Linked DNA regions of Struthio camelus. The protein of the gene in region 1 binds, or shares a complex with, the protein of each later gene. Links are inferred from orthologs where the notes say so. Each region holds a gene or a part of one and is shown in the gene's direction. Other genes may lie near its edges.

Evidence for each region.
Region 2: ZNF541 (region 1) and DNTTIP1 share a complex: the UniProt entries of both Homo sapiens proteins name them as parts of the histone deacetylase complex. The link is inferred for Struthio camelus from reciprocal best matches to the Homo sapiens genes ZNF541 and DNTTIP1.
Region 3: ZNF541 (region 1) and SAP30 share a complex: the UniProt entries of both Homo sapiens proteins name them as parts of the histone deacetylase complex. The link is inferred for Struthio camelus from reciprocal best matches to the Homo sapiens genes ZNF541 and SAP30.

Annotation. Positions count from the first base shown.
Region 1 is NC_090957.1:856,831-864,610, forward strand, and holds the start of ZNF541 (zinc finger protein 541), read left to right. Parts: upstream 1-4,684; 5' UTR 4,685-5,072; intron 5,073-5,182; 5' UTR 5,183-5,275; coding exon 5,276-5,579; intron 5,580-6,888; coding exon 6,889-7,132; intron 7,133-7,780. UniProt on the Homo sapiens protein: Transcription regulator which is essential for male fertility and for the completion of meiotic prophase in spermatocytes.
Region 2 is NC_090959.1:19,293,228-19,301,164, forward strand, and holds the start of DNTTIP1 (deoxynucleotidyltransferase terminal-interacting protein 1), read left to right. Parts: upstream 1-4,893; 5' UTR 4,894-4,946; coding exon 4,947-5,033; intron 5,034-5,108; coding exon 5,109-5,179; exon of another isoform or gene 5,180-5,207; intron 5,208-5,440; exon of another isoform or gene 5,441-5,492; coding exon 5,493-5,589; intron 5,590-5,810; coding exon 5,811-5,909; intron 5,910-6,608; coding exon 6,609-6,677; intron 6,678-7,127; coding exon 7,128-7,184; intron 7,185-7,411; coding exon 7,412-7,473; intron 7,474-7,822; coding exon 7,823-7,868; intron 7,869-7,937. UniProt on the Homo sapiens protein: Increases DNTT terminal deoxynucleotidyltransferase activity (in vitro). Also acts as a transcriptional regulator, binding to the consensus sequence 5'-GNTGCATG-3' following an AT-tract.
Region 3 is NC_090945.1:46,426,076-46,433,742, forward strand, and holds the start of SAP30 (histone deacetylase complex subunit SAP30), read left to right. Parts: upstream 1-4,663; 5' UTR 4,664-4,775; coding exon 4,776-5,102; intron 5,103-6,318; coding exon 6,319-6,441; intron 6,442-7,667. UniProt on the Homo sapiens protein: Involved in the functional recruitment of the Sin3-histone deacetylase complex (HDAC) to a specific subset of N-CoR corepressor complexes. Capable of transcription repression by N-CoR.

The DNA of each region.
Region 1 (7,780 bases):
TATGCACTTAAAATAGCATACTTTTATAACTGATCGTGAAGACATAGCAGCCAAGAAAACCTAAGACTGTCTTGGGTGGCAGGGAAGCTAGCTATGCTGAAAGCTCATGCTCAAGCAATCTTTTTTATTAGTATTACTAATTTTACGTGCTGACTACGCTCAGTGCTGGTGCATTTTCAGGCACAATCTTAAACTGGCTCTGTGCTCAGGCAGCACAAAGCACAGCTCAACCAAGGGTCCTCAACATACCAATTATAAACTGGTTCTGCCGGAGGAAGAGACACCGCTCCCGATTGGCCAAAAGTGGAGCAGCTCAGAGAGAAATGGGAAGGGCCAGATGCATTACCCTGCATCCTGATTAGACAGGTTAAATGTGATTGACCAGTGTGAGTAATTAATAATCTAGAGGCAGGGCTTTCTACTTTGTTTATACCCTTTGATTGGTTGAATTTGAATTAGATATACATTCTGTTTATACCTGGGTGGGACTATGGAGGGGTTTATTTTGGTGCATTACACTATAAAAGTGCAGTGCTAACCGAGCGCAGTGACAGTTTAACAGAGGAAGGAGACCGCAGTTTGAAGCGGCGGCAGCCGCCGCCACTTCAGTGGCAGCATCATCATTATTATTTCCTGGTTGTAAGTGGCCTTGCTATGAGCCTGTCAGATAACTGCTGAAAGCTAACCTAATCAGGAGCCATTAACGAAGTACAGAGGGCAACGCAATGGTTCCTAAAGTAGTTCGGAACTCGAAATAATTGGAGTAGGTGTGGAAAAGGAGATGAAAAACCTCTCCCTCTATAATCACATTCCAATCGCCATAAAGAATATCGCTTATAAACATGTTAAAGTAACACAAGGCACATTTACACTTGAATATTTTCTGTCTTTTAGCTGCGCCATACCATTCCAGAGCGCTGGAAAAATACAGTGGAGTCTGCCATGTCTAAAAAAATCTTGGCAGAAAGCCACAGTAAGTGATAATTAGAGTAACCCATGGGACAAGATTGTTCAAAGAGAGAGGCTAGTTTGAACTATGTTGCTATCAACAGATCTCTTAAAGCACACGGTTTATTTCCAAGTGGGAAGTGTTAATAATATTGTAAGAGATCTTTAAATCTTATTATGCTAATTCTACAACCATTTTTTTTCTTTCCTATACACTTTAGGCAACCTTTACTAGAGTAACAGATTGCTTCCCCACAGTTATATCCTGCTATTCTGAATAAGCAAGGGTCAAATTCACTGCTATAGTAAATGGATGCGACTTTGATGACTTCAGTTTGGTGTACCTCACATACAGCACGAAAATTTAGTCTTTAAATTTCACTGTTCAAAAGTAAAGAAAATGAGGCAAGTTAGATAAACCCTTTAACTTCCACAGAATTATTCACATACAAATACGCTGCCCTTAGACATCACTTTTTGTCAGCTGATCTCAAAAAACTTTTACAGCACGGCCAATACAGTTAAGTACGAGAGGAAGCCACAGGGAACTTTTATCATGGGGAGCTCAAATGATGCACTGTGGCAAAGCAGCAAACCCTCCTCAGCCTCCCGAATTGTGCAGTTCAGCACTCTTCAGGCCACGAAGCCCTCCCTAGGATGACGGCCTCTTGTTACTTTCTTAACATTAGGCCAGATCCTTTAGTAGAGTGAAACGTAACAGGGCCACGAATACAGCAAATGCACCAATCTATTCCAAGTAAAAACTTGGCCTATTGTAAGAAATAGATTCAAATCTTAGTCACGTCATGCAGTGTACTAGTTAATTGCTCTTTCTATACTGATACGGACCTGAAAATTCACTCTCAAGATAAGTTTGTCAAACCAAACACAAAGCAGAGTAATAAAAAAAAAAACAAAAAACCAAGCACCGGTATTTAAGCTTGCTTAAAATATACTGCTGATGACTAATACAATTACATACTATTTTTAATGCAATAATACCAAGGACTGAACCCTTAAAGGTTTGTTAATATCACTGTAGCCCATTCCTGCTTTAACCACTAGACTGCAGTAGCAGTAGTTGCTGCAGTACCATTCCAGTTTAAAACAGTGTAGTCTACTTACTTTCAGTTGATTTTTCTTCCACTTCTGAATTACTTTACTATGATTCAGGAGGCTCTAGATGACTGCTTTGTCAGCCAGACCAAGCCTGTGATACTGATAACAGAGCTTTTTCACTGGTAAAGTTAGAGCATTATTTCTATTAAGGGAGCAGTAATGGCCTAGAACACACTATGGGACAGAAGGATATCCTACCCAAATTAAACCTAGCTCTCTTCTTCAAAATCTTAACATTAGAGAAACAGAGAAAAAAAGAAACGGGATCGAAAGCAGCTTAGAGATAAAGCTTAAAGAGGTCTTAATGAGTTGCAATAATTGTATCTTTTCTTATGTTGAACTCAGGATTTCTTGGTATTTTTCAGCCATCTCTTAATAACAGCTATCCCGTGAAGTATTATTCCCATTTTACACAGGAGTAATTAAGTTCAACAAACAGTTTTTCCAAAGGCCAACTGTGAAATTGTACCTACATACTGCTAGCACTCATAATAAGCCCATGCAGATTACCACAAACAGCACACATGCCAAAATCAGATATTGCCCAGAAACACCGAGCTCTTCTACATGCGCACTGTGCAGCAGCTGTAAATGGATTAACAGCCTTACAACCACCACGTTTTACTGGATTTTTTTGGTCTGTTTTGTGAAGCCTTGGCTTAGGAAGGCATTTAAGGCACAAGGAAGTTTAGTTTAACAACTTTCCCATGACAGTCGGCACATCCCCCTATGCCCACTTGCTAGCCCCATCTTCACTCCTGCTCGCTATTCTCCACTTTCTGCTTTTCCCTTAAGCCTGCATACGCTTACATTCCTTTTCCCCCTTGTTTACTTTCCCAGCGCTTTACCCCACAGCTCTCTTACAACGCTGCTGAGCCCCTTCCCCAAACTCTCCTCCTGAACCCACCACCCCCAACCCCTACGTCCCCCTTTGCGCTCACAACTCCCTTCCCTCAAACCTGCCCCTTCTACCACCTCCCGCTCCCCTCACGCTCTGGCTTTGGCACATCACCTGCTCCACTCACCATCCACCAAGGCCCCTTCCACCTCTCTCACAGACACCTCACGCCCCTTCAAATCTCCTCCCCCCCCCCCCACCCCCCTCCCTCCCACGCAGACACCAATTCCCCTTAACTCTCCCCACAGACTGCACCCCCATCATCATCATCCCCCCCTTTCACACGCCGCCTGTTTTCTTCCCCGCTACCCACCCATTTCTTCCCCCCTCCCCAAGATGGCGCCGCCGCCGCCCACCCCCTTCCCTCCCGCCCGCCTTTTCCCGCCCAACCCGCGCCCCTCCCCCCCGTCACGTGACCGCGCGCGCAGCCGCGGGGCGGCGGCACGAGGCGCGACGGGCGGCGCGCGCATGCGCCCGCGGCGGGCGGGCGGGAAGGGTCCGGGCGCGAGGCGACCGGTAAAGCGGCCGCGCGGGGGGCGGGGGGGGAGGAGGGGTCGCTTCCCCCCCCCCCCGCCGCCCAGCACCCCCATCTCCGGCCTCGGGGCGGCCCCCAACTCCCTTCTCCCCCCGGGAGAGACTCCCAAATCCCAGCTGTGGGGTGTGCCCGGGGCCCGCTGCGAGGCCGGGAGCGGCGTTTCCCTGAGGGAGAGACCCCCCAGCCCCAAATCCCAGCCGTGGGCTGTGCCCGGGACCCGCTGTGAGGCCGGGAGCGTCGTTTCCCTGAGGGAGAGACCCCCCCAGCCCCAAATCCCAGCCGTGGGGTGTGCCCGGGACCCGCTGCGAGGCCGGGAGCGGTGTTTCCCTGAGGGAGAGATCCCCCCAGCCCCAAATCCCAGCTGTGGGGTGTGCCCGGGACCCGCTGCGAGGCCGGGAGCGGTGTTTCCCTGAGGGATAGACCCCCCCCGGCCCCAAATCCCAGCCGTGGGGTGTGCCCGGGACCCGCTGCGAGGCCGGGAGCGGCGTTTCCCTGAGGGAGAGAACCCCCCAGCCCCAAATCCCAGCTGTGGGGTGTGCCCGGGACCCGCTGCGAGGCCGGGAGCGGTGTTTCCCTGAGGGAGAGACCCCCCCCCGGCCCCAAATCCCAGATGTGGGCTGTGCCCGGGACCCGCTGCGAGGCTGGGAGTGTCGTTTCCCTGAGGGAGAGACCCCCCCAGCCCCAAATCCCAGATGTGGGCTGTGCCCGGGACCCGCTGCGAGGCTGGGAGTGTCGTTTCCCTGAGGGAGAGACCCCCCCAGCCCCAAATCCCAGCCGTGGGGTGTGCCCGGGGCCCGCTGCGAGGCCGGGAGTGGTGTTTCCCTGAGGGAGAGACCCCCCCCGGCCCCATATCCAAGCCATGGGGTGTGCCCGGGACCCGCTGCGAGGCTGGGAGTGTCATTTCCCTGAGGGAGAGACCCCCCCCAGCCCCAAATCCCAGCCGTGGGGTGTGCCCGGGGCCCGCTGCCAGGCTGGGAGCGGTGTTTCCCTGAGGGAGAGACCCCCCCCAGCCCCAAATCCCAGCCGTGGGGTGTGCCCGGGACCCGCTGCGAGGCCGGGAGCGGCGTTTCCCTGAGGGAGAGACCCCCCCCGGCCCCATATCCAAGCCATGGGGTGTGCCCGGGACCCGCTGCGAGGCCGGGAGCGGCGTTTCCCTGAGGGAGAGACTCCCCCCGGCCCCATATCCCAGCCGTGGGGTGTGCCTGGGGCCCGCTGCGAGGCCGGGAGCGGCGTTTCCCTGAGGGAGACCCCCCTGGCCCCCTTCCCCCCCCAACCCTGGCCCTGGGGCTGCACTTTCTTCCTTCTCTCCTATCCTTCAGGAAAGTTGCCTTCATTACCCAACTGCACCTCAGTCCTCTTGCAGCCCCTCAGCCTCTTCCAGGATGTGAAGTTTCCACCCTTTTCCCCTGTGCAGACCCCCTTGCACCCCTCCACCTTTGGTTAAGAGGTTCTTCCCAGCCCTCCAAACCTGCCCCAGGGTCTCAGCAGCTCTTCTCTGTCCTGACAGAGGCAGCAGCCTGTGCTTGTGTTTGAAACAGGAGCCAGGATACTTCTGGTTTCTTCTCTGGTAAGGTATGGTGTGTGTATGGGCTGATACACCCGTTCCAGTCTTGGTTATGGTTTTGGTAAGTAACGTCAGATCATCTCTGTTGTTTAACTTACCCTTTTTGTCTTTTGTTTAGGAGACCTTTTACTGCTGTCCTCACACCCCCAGTTTTGCTCTAGGTGGAAACCAGAGCACATCCTCTAACTGGTCACCAGGGTTGGTGGCGGGCATGGACCAGTACCACTTCAGCGACGAGATCACCATTCATTCGGAGATGCATCTCCCTGGATTTTCAGAAAGTCAGGGGCTGAACTGCAGTGACACTCTCAACCACGATTTGTGTCTAAATACAAAAGACATGACGTATGCAGGCCTGAGCGGCTTAGATATGGTTCCAGGCCTTTCAGCTGCAGATATGGCCAGTGATACTTTGGAGGCCAATTTAAATGGACTCTCCTTGTATTCAGTGAAGGACTGTGATTCTGTTAAACTCCTTGAAGAGTCTGACTCTGACTCACAGCCTTCTTTGCGTGGTGAGTACACTGGACTTTGCTTTCACTGTTATTTTGAGGGGTATCTTACAGATCAAAGCAGCCAGAGCTATTTAGTAGTTTTATATAGAAGGAAGAGTCTATGTCATGGAAATTTTGAGGGGGTCGAAGTAGCAGGTATGTTTTTTTTTTTAAATCAGTTTTAGGTTCTTGTCATGTAAGCACTTCACAAATGTTTCTTGTTGCCTTTTACCTGTAAAATGCTATTCAAATTGATAATGCTGTAGAAGATAATTATTATTATAATACTTCTCTTTCACAGGAATTTCACTTCTGTCCTATTTTCTTAAAATTATACCCTAGATAGGAATATGTTTTCTTCAGAAGTCCTTGCAACCTGCTCTCCAGCTGGAAATGGAAAATTTGGAGGCATTAAAATGACAGATTTGCTAAATATGTTGTTAACATCTATATTACTAGCTTTCCCTGAAGCAGAGAAGAGACATTCTGTTTAATTCTTTTTGCATTTCAAATTCTCTGTGAAATGGATTAAGCAAAATGGGCTTTTTCTAGGTCTACCATTAAAAGTTAAAAGGAGAGTGCCTTTAGTGAAACGCTCCTCTTGAGGGAATGGATAACTTAATTGCTAATGTATATAAGAGCACACAAAATTTAGGTGACTTGAAAACAACACAAATCAAAAACCATAGCTAACAGCACTCAAATGAGAACATGAGATTTTCTCGTAATGACTGAGGTCTATGTTTTTATTGATTCACAAGCTAGTAGTAGCAAGGTGTAATAGGTCTCCCTCTCCTTTCTTACTCATAGGTAAGAAATCTTGAATTGTCTCAAAGTCCAAGCTAACGGGAAGTACCTGGTTTATCAGGCGGTTAGTCATCTGATAGCCTTAGATAAAATTCTGTATTGTTCAGTTGAACAAAATGGTTCAGAATTATCTCTTTTTCTCCCTCTTTTTTTCCCCCCAGGAAAGGGGAAAAAAATTGGTAAAATTCATTACAATCGCTGGTCCAGTTAAGAGGTTTGAAACAGCCAAGTGTGTTACGGAGCCTGTGTGAGGGTAGGACATCAGTTTATTTGTTTATGGAAACCCTAGAAATAAAGTATTTGCAGAGCTGCAAATCATAATAGTTGGAGCAGATTTACAGGATTTTCATCTCATTTTTATGCAGATAATCAGTTGTCGAAAACCTTGGACCAGAGTTCTCAAACAGAATTACGAAAAGAAACACTTTTTTATTAGGAATAAAGTGAAAAGCTTGTCGTCACAAGAGTAACTCGATATGGCACTGGGCATAACCTAAGGATATTACTTTCTCCCTCTGTTTAGAACTGGGGCTTCCCACACTTTCAGGATCTAAGGAAGTTGAACAAGGAGGCAGATCCAGTTCTGGTACTGCAAGGAAAGGAAAGCATCAGCACAACTCTCCTCAGACCTCGTTCCTGGATTGCAGTCTCTGTGGGAAGGTGTTCAGCAGTGCCAGCTCTCTTAGCAAACATTACCTGACTCATAGCCAGGAACGGAAACACGTCTGTAGAATCTGCAGCAAAGCTTTTAAACGGCAGGACCACCTGTATGTAGGCATTTACCGTTAAAAATGCATAGAGTTGTTATGGTCCGTTTCACAGATGTAAATAAGACTCCTCTCTGTATACTGTATTTTCCAATTTCAGAAGCTGGTAGAAGTTACAGCGCTCGGTAGTCTTTGTTAGTGTTCTCGGGTTAGCAAACACTGTCGAGTTGCATCACAAAACTATTTCACTAGCACATGCGAATGAACTTTGAATTTTCCAGAGCAGGCTGGTGCAGAAAAAGCCTCAAATGCACTCGTTTCTGTCCAGCTGCAGAAGGATTTGTAATTCTGAACTGTATAATAGGAATTAAAGTCTTTTTCTTTCTGATGACTGGCTTAGGGAAAATTGTATTGGTATTGAAAGAGTTTGTAGCGGGTAGTCAAGTTCTGATTTTGGCAGCCAATGTTTTAGGAACTGTTGCAGTTAAAGCTTGCTTGTTCATGCAGCTGCTACCTCGGATCCTAAACTTTCAAATGCTGTAAAGCATTTATTGTTAACTCTGAACAGCTTTTGATACACCAAACCTTCAGCAGTCTATTGTAGTTCTACTTTTTGGCAATGGTGGTCCAGGGTTAAGTAAAACAAGTGTGGTGCATCAGACCAGAGCAGTTGCCAACAGTCATGCATACCTCTTCTGTCCTGAAAAG
Region 2 (7,937 bases), on another chromosome or scaffold:
TAAAAAGGAATATATTTAGGTCATCTCTGATAGATATTGTTTTGACCTGCTCATAAAAAGATATGCCTATCTCCCCAAAGACAGGGACTCCTTTATTGAGAATTTGTTCCAATATTTTACTGTTCTTTTAATAAGAAAGCTTTTTTCCACAGGTAATGTAAATCTTGCTTGATTCAAATTAATACAACTATTTCTTGTCCTTTCATAGGTGGATACGAAGAGCAATTGACTACTGTCCTGTCTGCAACAAGCTTTCAGAAATGAATCCTGCTGTTACGTCCCCTCTTCATCTAGCTCTATCTAGGTTAAACAAAAGCATTCTTTTAAGCTTTCTCCCTAAGTTTTTATATCTATTTTCATTTTCACTCTCCTCTGGGCAATGTCCAGTTTTGTGTATGTCCTCACTTAAGTGTGTCCTCCAAGCCAGACGCAGTTCCCCATCTGAAGTTCAGAGATCTATAAAATATTTATCTCACATGCCTTACCTATAATGCTGTGCCTCAAAACATCTTCTGCCTGTTTTTGCCACAGCAACATGTTGTTGCCTCCCATTCGTTTCACGATCCATAGCACCACCATCTCTCTGCTGTGCCATCAGGTAGCCATTTACTCCTCTCTTCATAGCTGCAAAAGTGATTTTCTTCTCCTAATTACTAGCACTCACACTGAATAACACCGGATTCAGGGCAAACTCTCAGGCCTGGATCTCATTTTGTAGAACCTCACTTTAAACAGATGTAGATGGCCAGTTTTTGAACACAGGTTTGCAAGATTACGAGTACTCCCCGAATATAATTAATACAGAAAACAATACTAACAAAGATATGTATTCAAGGAGATTTTCTCCTTTGGTTTGCTTTTAAGAAAGAATTCCAGTCTCCTCCAAGGTTTACAGCTATTCAGATGATTAATAATTTACCCCATGGAACTTAAAGCCAAGAACATGCTTCGCTAGCAGTCAAATGATTTTTGCTGATACTATAGCAATGGCATTGCCAGAAATTTGACTTACTGAGAGACATAGCCTGTCCCTCCTTTGTTCCCAGCCTCCTCAGGCTGGGTGCTGACCTAAAAAAGAGAAATAAGTAAACCAAATGGGTAAATGCTTAATGAGGACTCACCCAAATGCAAAAACTGCATGATCTGAGCAGTCTGCAGCAACAGGAGACCCTGAGCCCTCTTGAGTTTCCTGTTCAAGTGGGATTTGGTGCAGAAATGAAAGCTGCTCTTTTAACTCAGACACACAACACAATACACCACTAGAGGACAAGGAACAAAGTCACATCTGTGATGGAGAACATATTACTGGTAACTGAGCATGTCCTTACAGCACACGAGTCTTCAAGTCCCACTCACATTCCCCAAGGCATTATATTTCTTCCTTTCACACTGCAGCAACTACTAGTCTATTTCGTTCGCAAATGTTTGAGGACAACTCCAATCAGATTCGTGTACAGCCAGTATCCTCTCCTCTTCCTCTACAAATCCACTTCTGTTGATTTATCACGGAAAAGAAAACAAAATCAATGAAACGGCAACAACTGAGTTATTAGGTACTCAGGAAGAATAGAATTTCTTCATATAGTCATATATTGTGGAAATAAAATTCCTAATGATTGGGAACAACCAAAATTGCCCATAAAAATTCCAACACTGATGAAAATGAAGCCATGGCAACACTAACGATGACTTCAATGGCCACATGTCCACAGGTTTAATTTATATAACAGCCTGATCTCATTCACGGTCAATGCAGCCACAGTTAAAGTAGCAGGAAAGAGGCCACAAAAGCAGGAGTCTCTTGTACTACACGAACAGAAGATGAGCCACATAGCCTCCCTCCTCAGCAATAAACACTAACCAGCAAGTCCTGATCTCACAAAGGTGCCAAGTGCTATTTAGCACTACACCGACAGTTACAATGGACGATTCAAACCAAGCATACTAAGGGGATCACACTCGTAAGTTGACGTGTTATAACGCTGAAAGAAACGTCAAAAGATGATCTTGTTTCCTCTCTTACGCTGAGACACAATCAGGTACGCCTAGGTCACTACGGACAAACACTTGGTGATATACTGAAAATGACTGCTTGAACACACTCTCTATACTCATCGAGTATTATCTCCATCATCCTTTAGATTAGTTACTCTTTGAACAAGAGACACCGAACTGCCCTAACACAACGCATTTTGGCAAACCCAATTCGCCGGTTTTTATCTTATAATCTTTTTGGAAGTAACAAATTTTACCAACAAAACAGCAAATCTGCCTCTTAAATTTTCATCCACCTGACCCAACAGAAAAAGCTTCACGTTAACCAATGTACAAGGGTAAAAAGGTCTAATGAACAATGGACAAATCATTTTGAATATTCTAGACGTTGTAACTGATCAAGCTGACACGTTAAATTTAAGGAACACTGGCTTCAAATATTTCCTATATTTCCTAAGCCACACAATGAGATTCAGGAATCCTGAGAGGCTTGCAGCAAAGAGACACACAGCTTATTAAGATTGGAACTGCAACAACTTTATTTTTGTATTTCAGGTATACTAGATCAGACAACAAAAATATTTACAGACAATAAAAGAACAAATATTTACATTTCTATAACTGTAATTATTTTGGTACCGTAGGTAAGATTAGTGTGCTACCGATTTCAGTCTGAGGAAGGTCTCAATATTTCCAATTTTGGTGGAAAAGTTTTTTTTTTAAGCTTTAAGACTTCTGATTATTTTTGAGAGCTGACAGTCAGTCCATCACTACAAATTCATCCATGACAGCTGTACTTTTGAACAACTGGGGATTCTTTTCTTGCTATAAATTTTTACATTACCTGGTATTTACATACTTTTTTGAGAGGGAATATGCATACCAATAGGTAATGTGTAAAATAAACCATGAGGAAAAAATGCACCTGCAAGCACAGAGGGAAATAAGCGTGGATGTCTTAAATTTACAACTGCAATTTCAGTCTACTTCCATTCTCTTAGATTATTTACACACACTTTGCTGTGCTGCCTCCTACGCGAGGCGATACAAACAGCTGTGCAGCTCTTCACAGCTACGCCGAGCACCTGCGCTGCGGGACATACAGAGAGTTTAACGCTTTGACACCCAAGCTGACACCAAACAGGAAACGGCAAGCACGTTTATTGGTTCCCGTTATTTCCCCTACACCAAACCACGCAGGAGCTGGCAGGAAGGAGGCCGTTGCTCCACTAGCGCCTACCTTACCGCGTCGGAAACCTTCCCCACGCCGCCGCACCCCCGCACCCGCCCCATCACACCGCCCTCCCGCAGCGATGCACCCGTATGCCCTGCACCCCCACGGGCCCACCATCAGCACACCCACACCACCAGCACAACCCCCAATACACCCACACCACCAGCACAACCCCCAAATACACACACTACCAGCACAACCCCCAAATACACCCACACCACCAGCACAACCCCCAAATACACCCACACCACCAGCACACCCCCCAAATACACACACTACCAGCACACCCCCCAAATACACACACCACCAGCACAACCCCCAAATACACCCACACCACCAGCACAACCCCCAAATACACACACCACCAGCACAACCCCCAAATACACCCACACCACCAGCGCACCCAATACACCCTCACCACCAGCACAACCCCCAAATACACACACCACCAGCACAACCCCCAAATACACCCACACCACCAGCACACCAATACACCCACACCACCAGCACAACCCCCAAATACACACACTACCAGCACACCCCCCAAATACACACACTACCAGCACAACCCCCAAATACACCCACACCACCAGCACACCCAATACACCCACACCACCAGCACAACCCCCAAATACACCCACACCACCAGCACAACCCCCAAATACACACACACCACCAGCACACCAATACACCCACACTACCAGCACAACCCCCAAATACACACACTACCAGCACAACCCCCAAATACACCCACACCACCAGCACACCCAATACACCCACACCACCAGCACAACCCCCAAATACACCCACACCACCAGCACACACCCCAAATACACACACTACCAGCACACCCCCCAAATACACACACCACCAGCACAACCCCCAAATACACCCACACCACCAGCACAACCCCCAAATACACACACCACCAGCACAACCCCCAAATACACCCACACCACCAGCGCACCCAATACACCCTCACCACCAGCACAACCCCCAAATACACCCACACCACCAGCACAACCCCCAATACACCCACACCACCAGCACAACCCCCAAATACACACACTACCAGCACACCCCCCAAATACACACACCAGCACAACCCCCAAATACACCCACACCACCAGCACACCCAATACACCCACACCAGCAGCACACCCCCCAATACACCCACACCAGCAGCACAACCCCCAAATACACCCACACCACCAGCACACCCGACAAATACACCCGCACCACCAGCACACCCCTCCAAATACACACACCACCAGCACAACCCCCAAGTACATACACCACCAGTACACCCCCCAAATACACCCACACACTTCTACACACCCCTGTCATCCCCACACTCCTGTCACCCCCAAACCCTCCATCAGCCTCACACCCCGCCACCCCCCACACCCCCACATTGCTGTCACCCCCAAACTCGCCCGTCACCCTCACACCCCCGTCACCCTCACACCCCTCGTCACCCCACACACCCCCTGTCACCTCACACCCCCCCGTCACCCCCACGAGCCTCCTGCCCCGCCGAGGGCCGCCCACACCCCCCCGCCCCGGCCGGCCCGGGCCGGGCCCGCCGTTGCCATGGCAGCCGGGCGCTTCCGGCGGGCGGCGCGGCGCGATGACGCCGGCGCGCGGCGGCCGCTTCCGGGCGCGAGGGCGGCGGGCCGGGGCCGGGGCCGGGGCTGGGGCTGCGGCCGCGGCCGCCATGGGGGCCGCCCGCGACGCGGAGCAGCAGCCGGGCCCGCCGGGCGAGGAGGGCCCGGGCGGCGCCGAGGAGCAGCTGGTCAGCACGGTGAGGCGGGGGCCGGCGGGGGGCCGGGCCGGCGGGGGGCCGGCGGGGCCGGGGCTGACGCGCCTCTTCCCGCAGAGCCCCTGGAACATCATGATCAAGCACCGGCAGGTGCAGCGGCGCGGCCGCCGCTCCCAGATGACCACCAGGTAACGGCGGCGGGCCGGGCCGGGCCGGGCCGCGCTGCGCTGGGGGGCACGGGCCGGGCCGGGCTGGCCGGACGGAGCCGATGGGGAGCGGGACCGGGGAGGGGAGGGGTCCCGACTGGACCTGATACGGAGGGGGTGGGGGGAGACCGGGCCGGGTGGACCTGGAGGATCGAGAGGGGAGACTGCGGCAGTGGGAGGACCGGACTGGGCCAGGCTGGGAGGGGGCAGCTGGACTGGCCTGGAGGAGAGGGTCTGGATTAGACCAGACTGGGGGAGGGGGTCTGTGCCACCCACCTGATCTCTGCACCTTCAGCTTCACAGACCCAGTCGTGTCCATGGAGCTGCTGCGAGCCGTCCTGCAGCCCAGCATCAATGAGGAAATCCGAGGCGTCTTCAACAAGTACATGAAGGTGAGAGCTGCCGGGGCAGTGCCTCGTGCCACCCTGTCCCGCTGTGGGCCCTGCAGGAGGAGCTTGGCTCCTGGGTGGCTGTGTGAGGCGGTCACGCCTGTCCTGTGCCAGCCTGGCCGCTGGCACGCGGGTGCAGTGTGAGAGCACAAGTGCACCATGTGCTTGCCCCGATGTTGCCTTGCTGGTCAGGCTCTAACCTTCTCCTGCTGCCTCTTCACCAGTTTTTCCAGAAAGCAGCAATCAATGTGCGTGATAATGTCGGGGAGGAGGTGGACCCAGAGCAGCTCATCCAGGAGACGTGCCGGAGTTGCCTAGAACAGGTGGGCACCATAGCCAAGGGCCCTGCACACCCGGGGCAGCCTGGTATGTCCAGCAGCGGCAGACTACTATTTGCTTGGCTGGCTGTGCAGAGCAGCCTGCGGTAGGGCATGTTCCTCCTCACAGTCTTGCAGAATAGCCAGAGGAGGGCGTCCACAGTCCTTCCGTGGATACTGTGCTCGACTTCTTTTTCCCTGTCGAAAAGGAGAGTAGTCGGGGTTGGGTAGCTCTCAATGAACTGCTGCTTCCCACTGATGCTCTGTCCATGCTTGTTGCACACAGCTGACAGCAGGGAGCTTTCACAGTGACTCTAGTTCCCTGGTACCCGTTGAAGGTTCCTCCAACAAGACTGTGATCTTCTTCTTTCAGATCTTACTTTTGTGCCGGTCATCCTGACTTGATCGTGCTCTTGCATCTCACTGTCTGTGAACAGCACTGCGCTTTAGAATCACTCTGCAACCAGAGCTGATATAGGGCTTCTGGCCAGATACACTTGAATCTCTGGGGTCTGCAGTGACCAGCCCTTGTGGTCTACTGGGCATCTGAGTCATTAGCTATGGCCTTTAAAGTTTACCTGGCCTGGGGCTCTCTCTCCAGCGCGAGTGTCTTTGCACACATGAGCCCCTTTCATAGGGAAAGGCAGGGGTAGCTGGCAGTCCCTCTCTGGACCCAGAATCAGATAATCCTTTCTCTTCTTACAGGCCAAGCTGCTTTTCTCTGATGGCAAAAAGGTGATCCCAAGGTTGCCCCATGAGCAGGCGGTACCAAAGGTAAAAGTTGTTATTGTTCCTGTAGTCTTAAATGACTTTAAGAGCTGGAAGAAATAAGAGGAGGGTTTTGAGTTGCTTTGTTTTCTGCCTGTTCCTTATCTGTTGAATTACAGAATCAATATGTAAGTGGGGGGTACAGTGTTGTCCTTTAAAAGCTGCAGGATAGATCTCTCCCTGATATCTGGTTGTCCATCAGTTGCTCTAATGAGGGGGTAGAACTGGGAGATGTTGGGCTAGGAGGGAGGGGGTACAGAGCAACAAAAGTCCCATGCGCTGTTGCTTATTGCAACTACGTGCTTCATACCGAGATGGGTTGGCTTCAGCGTTCCCTGTGCACTTGTGCTCTGTGCCCCAAGTGCGGCAGATAAGAGAGTAGCTGACAGGGTGGGTGGGGGTTCTGACTAGACAGGGAGAAGGGCTGCTGTTCACTTCCTGCCGTTCCTTTGCCAGCGTGCCAGACAGATGGATGAGGAGTTGAATCGGCGAGGAAGCCCTGTTCCCAAAAAGGTAGGGTTTTCCACAAAAATGCTTTTATGTTATGGGAAGCCTCTTCCTCATCCTTCCCAGAAAATAAGTGCATGCAGATGCAGCTTTTGTAATGCCTTAGAGGTCCTTACTCTAGGGCTAGCCAGCACTTTGCTCGTGGTAAAAAGAGCAATTTTCCCAGCAGAGGATAACCGAAAGAGTACCCTCAGCCTACACAAATGAGTAGCTCAAGGATATCTTTCTTGCAGAGAAAGGGTCGGCCTCCAGGACAGAGCCTGGCAAATGATCGTGGGGTCTCGGGCATGGCTGCGTGAGTATGGGTTCTGACTTAGAGCCTGCGCTTGGAGAGGGTGGGGAATGAAGCAGGGAGTGTAGAAGACCCTCTGGAAAGCAAGGCCCAAAGGGGCAGAAGGGTCCAGATGGACTATTCAGGGTGAGCAGTATATGACACAGGTAGAGGTGGGATGTTGGCAGCTGGGGAGAAGAGAATGTGCAGCACGGATGAGGATCCAGAGCTGGGCACTGGAGAGAAATAGAAGGTGTGAATGCAAATGGAGCTGGGAGGGGGTGGAGCTCAGCTCCCTGCTGCTAGGTGCTTGCGGTGTTCTGTGAGTTGGTGCCTCTGGGATCCGTTCTTATTTCATTTTCCTTCCCCTCAGGTGGAAGCTCAAAGTCTCTGAGCCCGTGAGAAGGGATGGACCAAAGGTATCGGTTGGCCAACACTGCTGGGCTCACCCTCTCCTCCTCTTTGCTTCCGTCAGCAGAGCCCCACCT
Region 3 (7,667 bases), on another chromosome or scaffold:
TATTATTCATAGCTAAATTTACATCGCAGTACAAAACAAAACCTCTGGGAGTTTTGTTAAATGTTTCGCTCTACATTCCAAATTGAAACAGTGACTCTGAACCCTTCACTGTTAAAAACAGTGGATGTGCACTGTTAACTTGGGTGAATGGGAGCTTGTAAGGAAAAAGATAACTGAAATCTAGTGCAGAGCTCATGGTAGGCTGCTATGGTTGCTTGTGTGCAGCTGAATTTGAAAACATCCTTTAAGCTGCATTTACTATTGCTTAATGAAGCAAAAGTATTTGTCACAGTTCATTGTTGAAGTCCCCCAACAAATAGTTGCTGGCATGTACATTCAATAAAGAACATTAATATTTCTGTATCAACATTTCTGTATTTTTTCCACACAAAAGTGAAGCCTTTTGTTAGAACACCGTTGAAGGCTGTTGTAACTAATGTAACGGCTTATTGCAGAACTGAATTGGAACAGTGAAGGGGCATGTATTACAAATCTTCCAAGGTTTTAACAGTACACGGGCTTATCAGTTTTAATCCTGTAACACCTAGATTACTCTTAAAATACGATGTTTATTTTTGGACCCTGTTTACTGCTTTAAATCTTTTAATAAAAGCATGTGTTACATAAACTCTTTCATACTGTCTTAATTTCCATACTGCAGGGTAGAACACTAAAAAGGAATAGCAGATTCAACTGCATTATACAGAAGGACCAGGAAATACCAGTTGTGCACCAATTTAACCATTTTGGTTAATGGCATGATTTTCTCTCTTACTGTATTACCTGAATCATATACATCCAACACAGGATGTGTTGGAATGTGCAGAATTGTTAAACCATTTTAAGGATTTTATTTTAAAACATTTGCCAACAGGATAATTTGAGGTGCAGCACAACACTCAGTAAAGTATACCTGGACTCCTAGTGAATGGTCCCTAAAGGGTACCTAAAGGGAAGAGTCACCTCTAATTGAACCCTTATCGTATTAAGATATATATATAGCTACAAAACACATTTCCTTTCCACGATTACTCATAATACATTTACAGCGTGCCAGCAATCTATCCAAAGTGATGTGTCTGCTTATCATTTTTTGTTCTCAAATTACAAGTTAAGCACAAAAGCTAACAGGAGCTGGGACAGACGGCAGTCAAAGAGGCATAAGCTGCTCACTTTCCCACCGGTGCCTGGCTCCCCTCTGTGCCAGCAAGGGCCACTGAGTCCTGCTGCATGCACTTGGAGCCTGGGAGCTGCTGCTTTGAACAGATGCCCTTTTCAAGATACTGTAGCTCCTGTTCCTTCTGCATGCCACTTAAGTTATCTATAATGCATTTTTGGCATCTATGACATAGATTATTACTGCCTTAATTTTCAACTCTGCGTGTGAATATGGCACATAAATGCTAGTGAAGTCTTACACAAAAATTTACTAGTTTGGAGCTGCCATTTCCATGCGATCAGCTTAGTTTTTCAAACTTTTGCTCTAAATACATATTGTTCCAATAATGCATACTTTGATAGGGATATTTGTTTACAATCTCCCAGTACATATATATATAATATAGTTATATCTAAATACTTCTATTAAACACTGCCAGAGCTTAATTTTATAAAATCATACTTTTGCACAAAATGCAATCTAGCAGAATCCATCTATGACATTGTTTTATTCCAAAGGGCCTAACTATGCAATTTGGAAAATCTATCCTGTAGATGGAATTTTTACTCTGCCTGATAAGCCCACCTATCTGCAGCTCTTTGTTAACCTTGTACAGTATGTGGGATAAAAAAATGCAATGACGTGATTTCTGAATTATTTTAAGCTGGCATTGATACCAAAGAAGGTGGCCCTTCCCTGTTCTGGTGCTAGTCAGGCAGTCCTGCCCTTCTGTTGGATCGTCCTTTGTGCTAAGACATCACGCAATTGAGCAGTAAAGGAGATCAGGCTTAAACTTAACTGATTTTCTTTCTGCTGGGCTAGTTTTAACCCAATCCAGTTTGCTCTGCAGCTGTATAAATGCTTTTACAGGCACAAGGAAGGGCATGGAGGGCTTGGGTGTGAAAATGAGCGGCTTATGGCAGAAGGAGGACTGTCTTTCTCAGCCCTACTACTGCCTTATCATGATAATGAAACTATGACACTACTCATTTTGAAATTCAGCTTATAATTTAACATACTGGCCAGCATAGCTGATTAATGTAATAAGGTCTTTAACTGTTCACAGATGATACCAAGATAATTGGGAATACAGATTTAAAATGCGCTACTGATCGTTCCATCTTATGAAACTGCACCAACCAAACCTACTATGCCAAATCTCAACCACTCTTTACCTAGCCTGGTGTGCTTTGTGCTCACAGTAAGGTGAAAACAATCTAAAGAAAGATGGGTCTCAAAAGACATAGTGTAAAATTGCAGGTTTTGCTATTCATGACACAGATTTCCACTGAAGAATTCCTGGAACTCACCCTTGCTCCAGCTTTCCTAGCCTGTACTTTCCTTAGGTAAGCCCTGCTACCATTCTTTTAATATTTTATTATTGCAACTGTTAAAAGGGTCAAATCATAGGAAACTTAAAAAGTGAATTAGATGTCTGTTGTCTGAGATTATACAGATTATACCCAGATACTTCATTTAGACTTCTGTTCAGTTGATAACAAAACAGAGCTTTGGATTTTTTTTGAACTCTAATCTCTCTGAATCTTTGAAATGTGCCTTCTCTATTGTCTGTGACTCTATGCTCAATTTTTTACTTACTGTATCATTCATTCAATTACACTGTTCGAAGTGTAAGTGGGAACCTACCCACATTCTATAATACCAGGTTATGTAATCAGATTAAAAAGCCATCTGCAGCACAAACTGAAGCTGCGTTCTAATCGTGTTCCCCGGCTCACTTAGAACTTTGGCTTACACGGGATCTGTGTCTTGTCAAATCATTCACTGACTTCTCCATTACTCTTCTGATTCTGCAAACTGAAAATGCATGGTAACTGATATGGTTGAATATTTGAGTGATTAAATCATCATGCTTTGAGTACAGTCAGTTCAGATACCATTTCTTAGATTTAAGGGAATATTCATGGCAGTTTGAAAGGAAAGCAAAACGAAACTCAATATTCATTCAGTGCCTATACTTTGAAAGCACATGAAGAAAAATGCATCAAAAGTTTGCATCTTCTGTCACTCCGCAGCCAACAGCAGCACTAGCAATTGGTTTAATGCTAATGCATCTCTCATGTGGTTTTGCAAATTCCTGAAACTAAAAATACTTGCTTTTAACAAGTATTTTCACAATATCTATTTTAGCTGGTCTTATACACAGCAAAGTCCCAGTTCATCACTAGCAAAAGATAACGCAGTGTTAGTTTGTTGTTGCTAAAGTCATCTTTATTCACCAAAAGCCCGTTTAAATAGTAAAATTGGAAGCTTGCGCTGTACATTGGCTTAAGAGATCTTTATGAAGTTATCGCAAGGCTAGGCTCCCCTTGCAGCCGTTTTAAAAACGGCTTTAACATAAAGGACTACTGTCAGTTATTCTCAGTCAACAGACTCAAAGCCACAGGCTGTACAGAGGCTCTCAAAGAGCTCCCAGTTGCAAGGCAACACCGCACATGACAGAAAGCACTCTGCATTCAGTCCAGGGCAACGGGATCTGTTCTCCGACCGTTACTGGAAAAAGGCTGAAAAAGAAAAGAGGCAACGAGATATGCACAGACGTACGGCAGAAAGAAAACAAAACAAACTAGAAAAACCAAGCAAGAAAACCATCCAAGGAAATGCGAGTTAGGCTGAAATGTTACAGCCAGAGAAAGTAAAAGAAAGGCGAGGCACCGCTGAAGAGAGCGAAGAAGTAAGGCGCTGCAGAAACACAGACGTTAGCGAATAGGAAGCAAGGGTGTCTTAACCTTTTGAGGTTGAAGTACGTTTACGCACTCGGCTCAGCAAGTGAAAGTGGCGATCTCTGCCCCTCAGAGAGAAACGCCACCCTCCTCCGCCCCAGCCGGGGAAACGCCGCAGCGGCCGGCCCGGCCGCCCGCTCCCGCCGCCGCACCGCCCCGCACATTTCAAATCTCAACGGCCGCACGCGGCCTCGGCGGAGGAAAGGAGGGAGGCGAACAAGGGCCTTTTAAAAGCAGATCTGGGCCGCTGCCGCCGGGCCGGGCCGGGCCGGGCCGGGCGCGGCCACCTGGCGGCGGGGGAAAAGGAGCGCAGCGGCGAGCGGGCGCCCACCGCCAGCGCGGAGAACAGCCAACAACCACCCCCAACCCCCCTCTCCCGCGTCCGCAGCGCCGTAAAATGGCACTCCGGCTCCCCCGCGGGGCATGTCGGGAACTGTAGTTTTCCCTCGCCGCCGGCCGCGGAGGGGGAGGCGGCGAGCGAGACTACAGTTCCCGCCGCGCCCCACCCACCACCACACAAACATACACATACACCGGCGGGGGAGCGCGCATGCGCAGGGGAGGGGGCGGAGCCGCGGGCAGGTTGCTGTTGTTACATAGGAAACAGCTGAAAAGTCTCCACATGACAGAGGGGGAAGGAGGAAGCGGCGCGACCCGCGGGGCGCCGGGGCCGCGGTAGCTCGGCGGAGAGCGGCAGGCGGGGGCTGCCGGCGGCGAGGTGCGTGCCCGCAGCGCGCGGGCTCGCCGCCCGTGAAGGGGGGGGCCGGAGGGGTCGCGCCCCGGTGCCGCGGCCGAGGGCGGCAGCGCTCCCGCTCCCGCCGCGGCAGTTTGGTGCGGGCCGGGGTCCCCCCGCCGCGGAGTTGGCGCCGGGCATGAACGGGTTCGCCCCGGAGGAGGCGGCGCAGCGAGGGGCAGACCCCGCCGCCCTGGTCGCCGCCGTCGTGGGCAATGCGGGCGCCGCCGTGGAGGTGCCGCCGCCGCCGCTGCCGCCGCCGGGGCTGGGTCCGGCCGCCGCGGGTGCCGGTGCCGGTGCCGGGGCGGGTGGCGGCGGCGGGGCGGGCGGCCCCGGGGCCGGGCAGCTGTGCTGCCTGCGCGAGGAGGGGGAGCGGTGCGGCCGGGCCGCCGGCAACGCCAGCTTCAGCAAGCGGATCCAGAAGAGCATCTCGCAGAAGAAAGTGAAGATCGAGCTGGACAAGAGCGTAAGTCGGGCGGCGGGGGAGGGGGGAGCGGGCCCCTGCCCCGGGCCAGCGCAGCCCTTCTGCCGCCCGGCCCGGCTGGAGGGGCGCGGGGCTCGCCCGTCCTTTCCACGGCTCCGTTTCTTTTTGTTTTCTCCCTTTTTGTTTTTTTTCCCCCCTTTTTTCCGGAGCGGTGCGGTCCGTCCCTCTCCTTCCTCGGCACGCCGTGGAGTTTGGCTGGCGCCGCACGAGTTCAGCCTTCAAGCGCCCTTGGCGGGCTGCGCGGCGGGGCGGGGGGGGGGGGGTTGCGCGCCCTGCCCCGCTCCCTCCGCGCTTCCCGCGGTGTCCGTCCGCGCCTGCTTCTGGCGAGGGCAGCGCTTGGCTGCTCCGCCTCGTGCCGTCGCGTTGCACGTCTGCCCTCTCGCCGCTGCGTCTTCCGCTCGGCAGCCATCAGGCGCCGCCGCGCAGCGCTGCGCGGGGCAGCGCGGGGCTGGGGGCGCCCGGCCCGGCCCGGGGTAGGGGCGGCCGAGGTGTTTCCCGGCGCCCCGAGGCAAAACGGCTGAAAACGCACCGCCGCGTGTTTTGCTGCCGGCGAGGCTGCGCAGCGGCGCGGAGCGCTGCGCCCGCGGCCCCCCCCCCCCTCCTCACGGCCGCGCTGCGCTGTCACCCTGTAAACCTAGCCCCGCTCAGGTCCTTAATTCCGGTTAAAGTCGGCGCTCACCGCTCTGGAAAAAAACGGTTTTTGCACATAAGTAAGAACTCTGCTTTCGAAATGAACGGGTCCTTCCAGAAGGAAACTTTATCCAAAAAAAAAAAAAGAAAAAAAGAAAGCGTATGTGCCGCTTGACCTTGCGTAGGCAGTGGAAGTGAAACAAAGGAGTACAGATGGGAAACGAGAGCTGAAGTCCTCCCGCTTTGGGGCGTTCAGAAGAACGACTGAATCACTCTTGTTGCCTGATGCCTGAGCGCTGACGAGCGGCCGTGGAGATTCATGTGCCTCTGCAGTCCGGTACTACTGAATCAGTCTGCTGCGGCACTTCCCCGCTCTCTAGGCTAAGCGGGTGGCAGTCGTCCGTAGCGTAACACATACCTTATTTAGTGAAATCGAGCAGAAAAGCTTCCTGAACTCAGTTAACGTGACTGTGATTGCTGAAGGGTTGGTTCTGTATGTGCATTTATATCTTAAGTTGAGCAGATACGTGTGTGTATTTGATTGAAAGATGCAGCATTACTCTTTCAGGCAAGACATCTTTATATTTGTGACTTCCACAAAAACTTAATTCAGAGTGTGAGAAATAGAAGGAAGAGGAAAGGCAGTGATGATGATGGTGACTCACCGGTGCAAGACATCGACACTCCAGAGGTAGCTAAATAGCTGTTTTCTAATTGTTATGTTAAGCTTTTTCTTAATGACTACCAGGTCTGCACTAATGCTGCTTTTCCACTGTTACAGCTTTCCTTATTTTGGGGGATGGGGAAAACAGAAGACTCCTGACTCATTAAGTCCTTAGTATAACAGGAGCTGACTGAGTTTTATGAAGTATCTTCTGTATTAATCATGTAGATTAGAATGAACAAAACTCTTGGCTTATTTCTCATTATCTGCTAGTTTTCTCAAAAAAACTGTTTTCAACTTTTTCTTTCCGATGCTTCCTCTCCAGACTTCTACTAGAAGTGATGCTTTGCCACATAGTAGCAAAATCTATCTTCTGCAGGAGCTGACAATTTTAAGGGAATTGCACGTAGGACTTGGGATATAAATGCTTCACTACTCCTGTCCCTCCAATCATTTCTTTCTGGGTGTGAAAACGTGTTGCAGAATAGTTCTTGCAGCTACTCTGTTGCTCTAGTCTAACTCTAATGAGGATAGCTCTATGGTTTTTGTCCCCTGTTCAGGGAGGAGACACTCAGAGTCAGGCAGGAAAGGAGAGGAGGAGGATAGCCCTCTCCCTGTTTGTGTTCTCCACTGGAGGTTTGTGAAACATTGTCACTTATTTTGAAAGTGAACTGCAGCTTTTGAACCTTTTTCGTAGTGTTGGGGGAAGAAAGCACTAGGTTTGTAAGAAGCATGCCATGACCTAAAGCCCTCTTCCTACGTGTGTACTGGATTATTTCTGCTGGAGCCTGGTTTAGCGGGTGCTCTTCAGTGTGATGATTCTGAGCAGAGGCTGTGATTCCAACCTAGTTCCTCTAAGGGATTTTCAAGATGTTTTGGATGTTGCTCATTGAATGTAACTTTGATGGCATCCTCATAGCCCAAATCTGCATACATCAGCCACATAAGTAATACAACTTTGCAAGAGTCGCTGCCTGAAGACATGCAGCTCCAGCTTGAAGGCTCTGACTGGGAGGATCTTGGGGGATTGGGAATGATTTGATGCTAGCCTGTGTTTTTGGCTGTTAAATACGTTGGATCACTTTTCTGAAAGTTCTGTCTAAACTTAATGTGCCATGTGACTTAAGGTAGCTGCCTGGCACAGTGGAAACTGCCACTCTTCAGCAAGCCTGTTTTGCTTTTCAGTACAAGAATTCTAAAACATGTCACAACTTATGAGCATTTCTGGAACAAAAAAAGCAAACTTTTTTAGT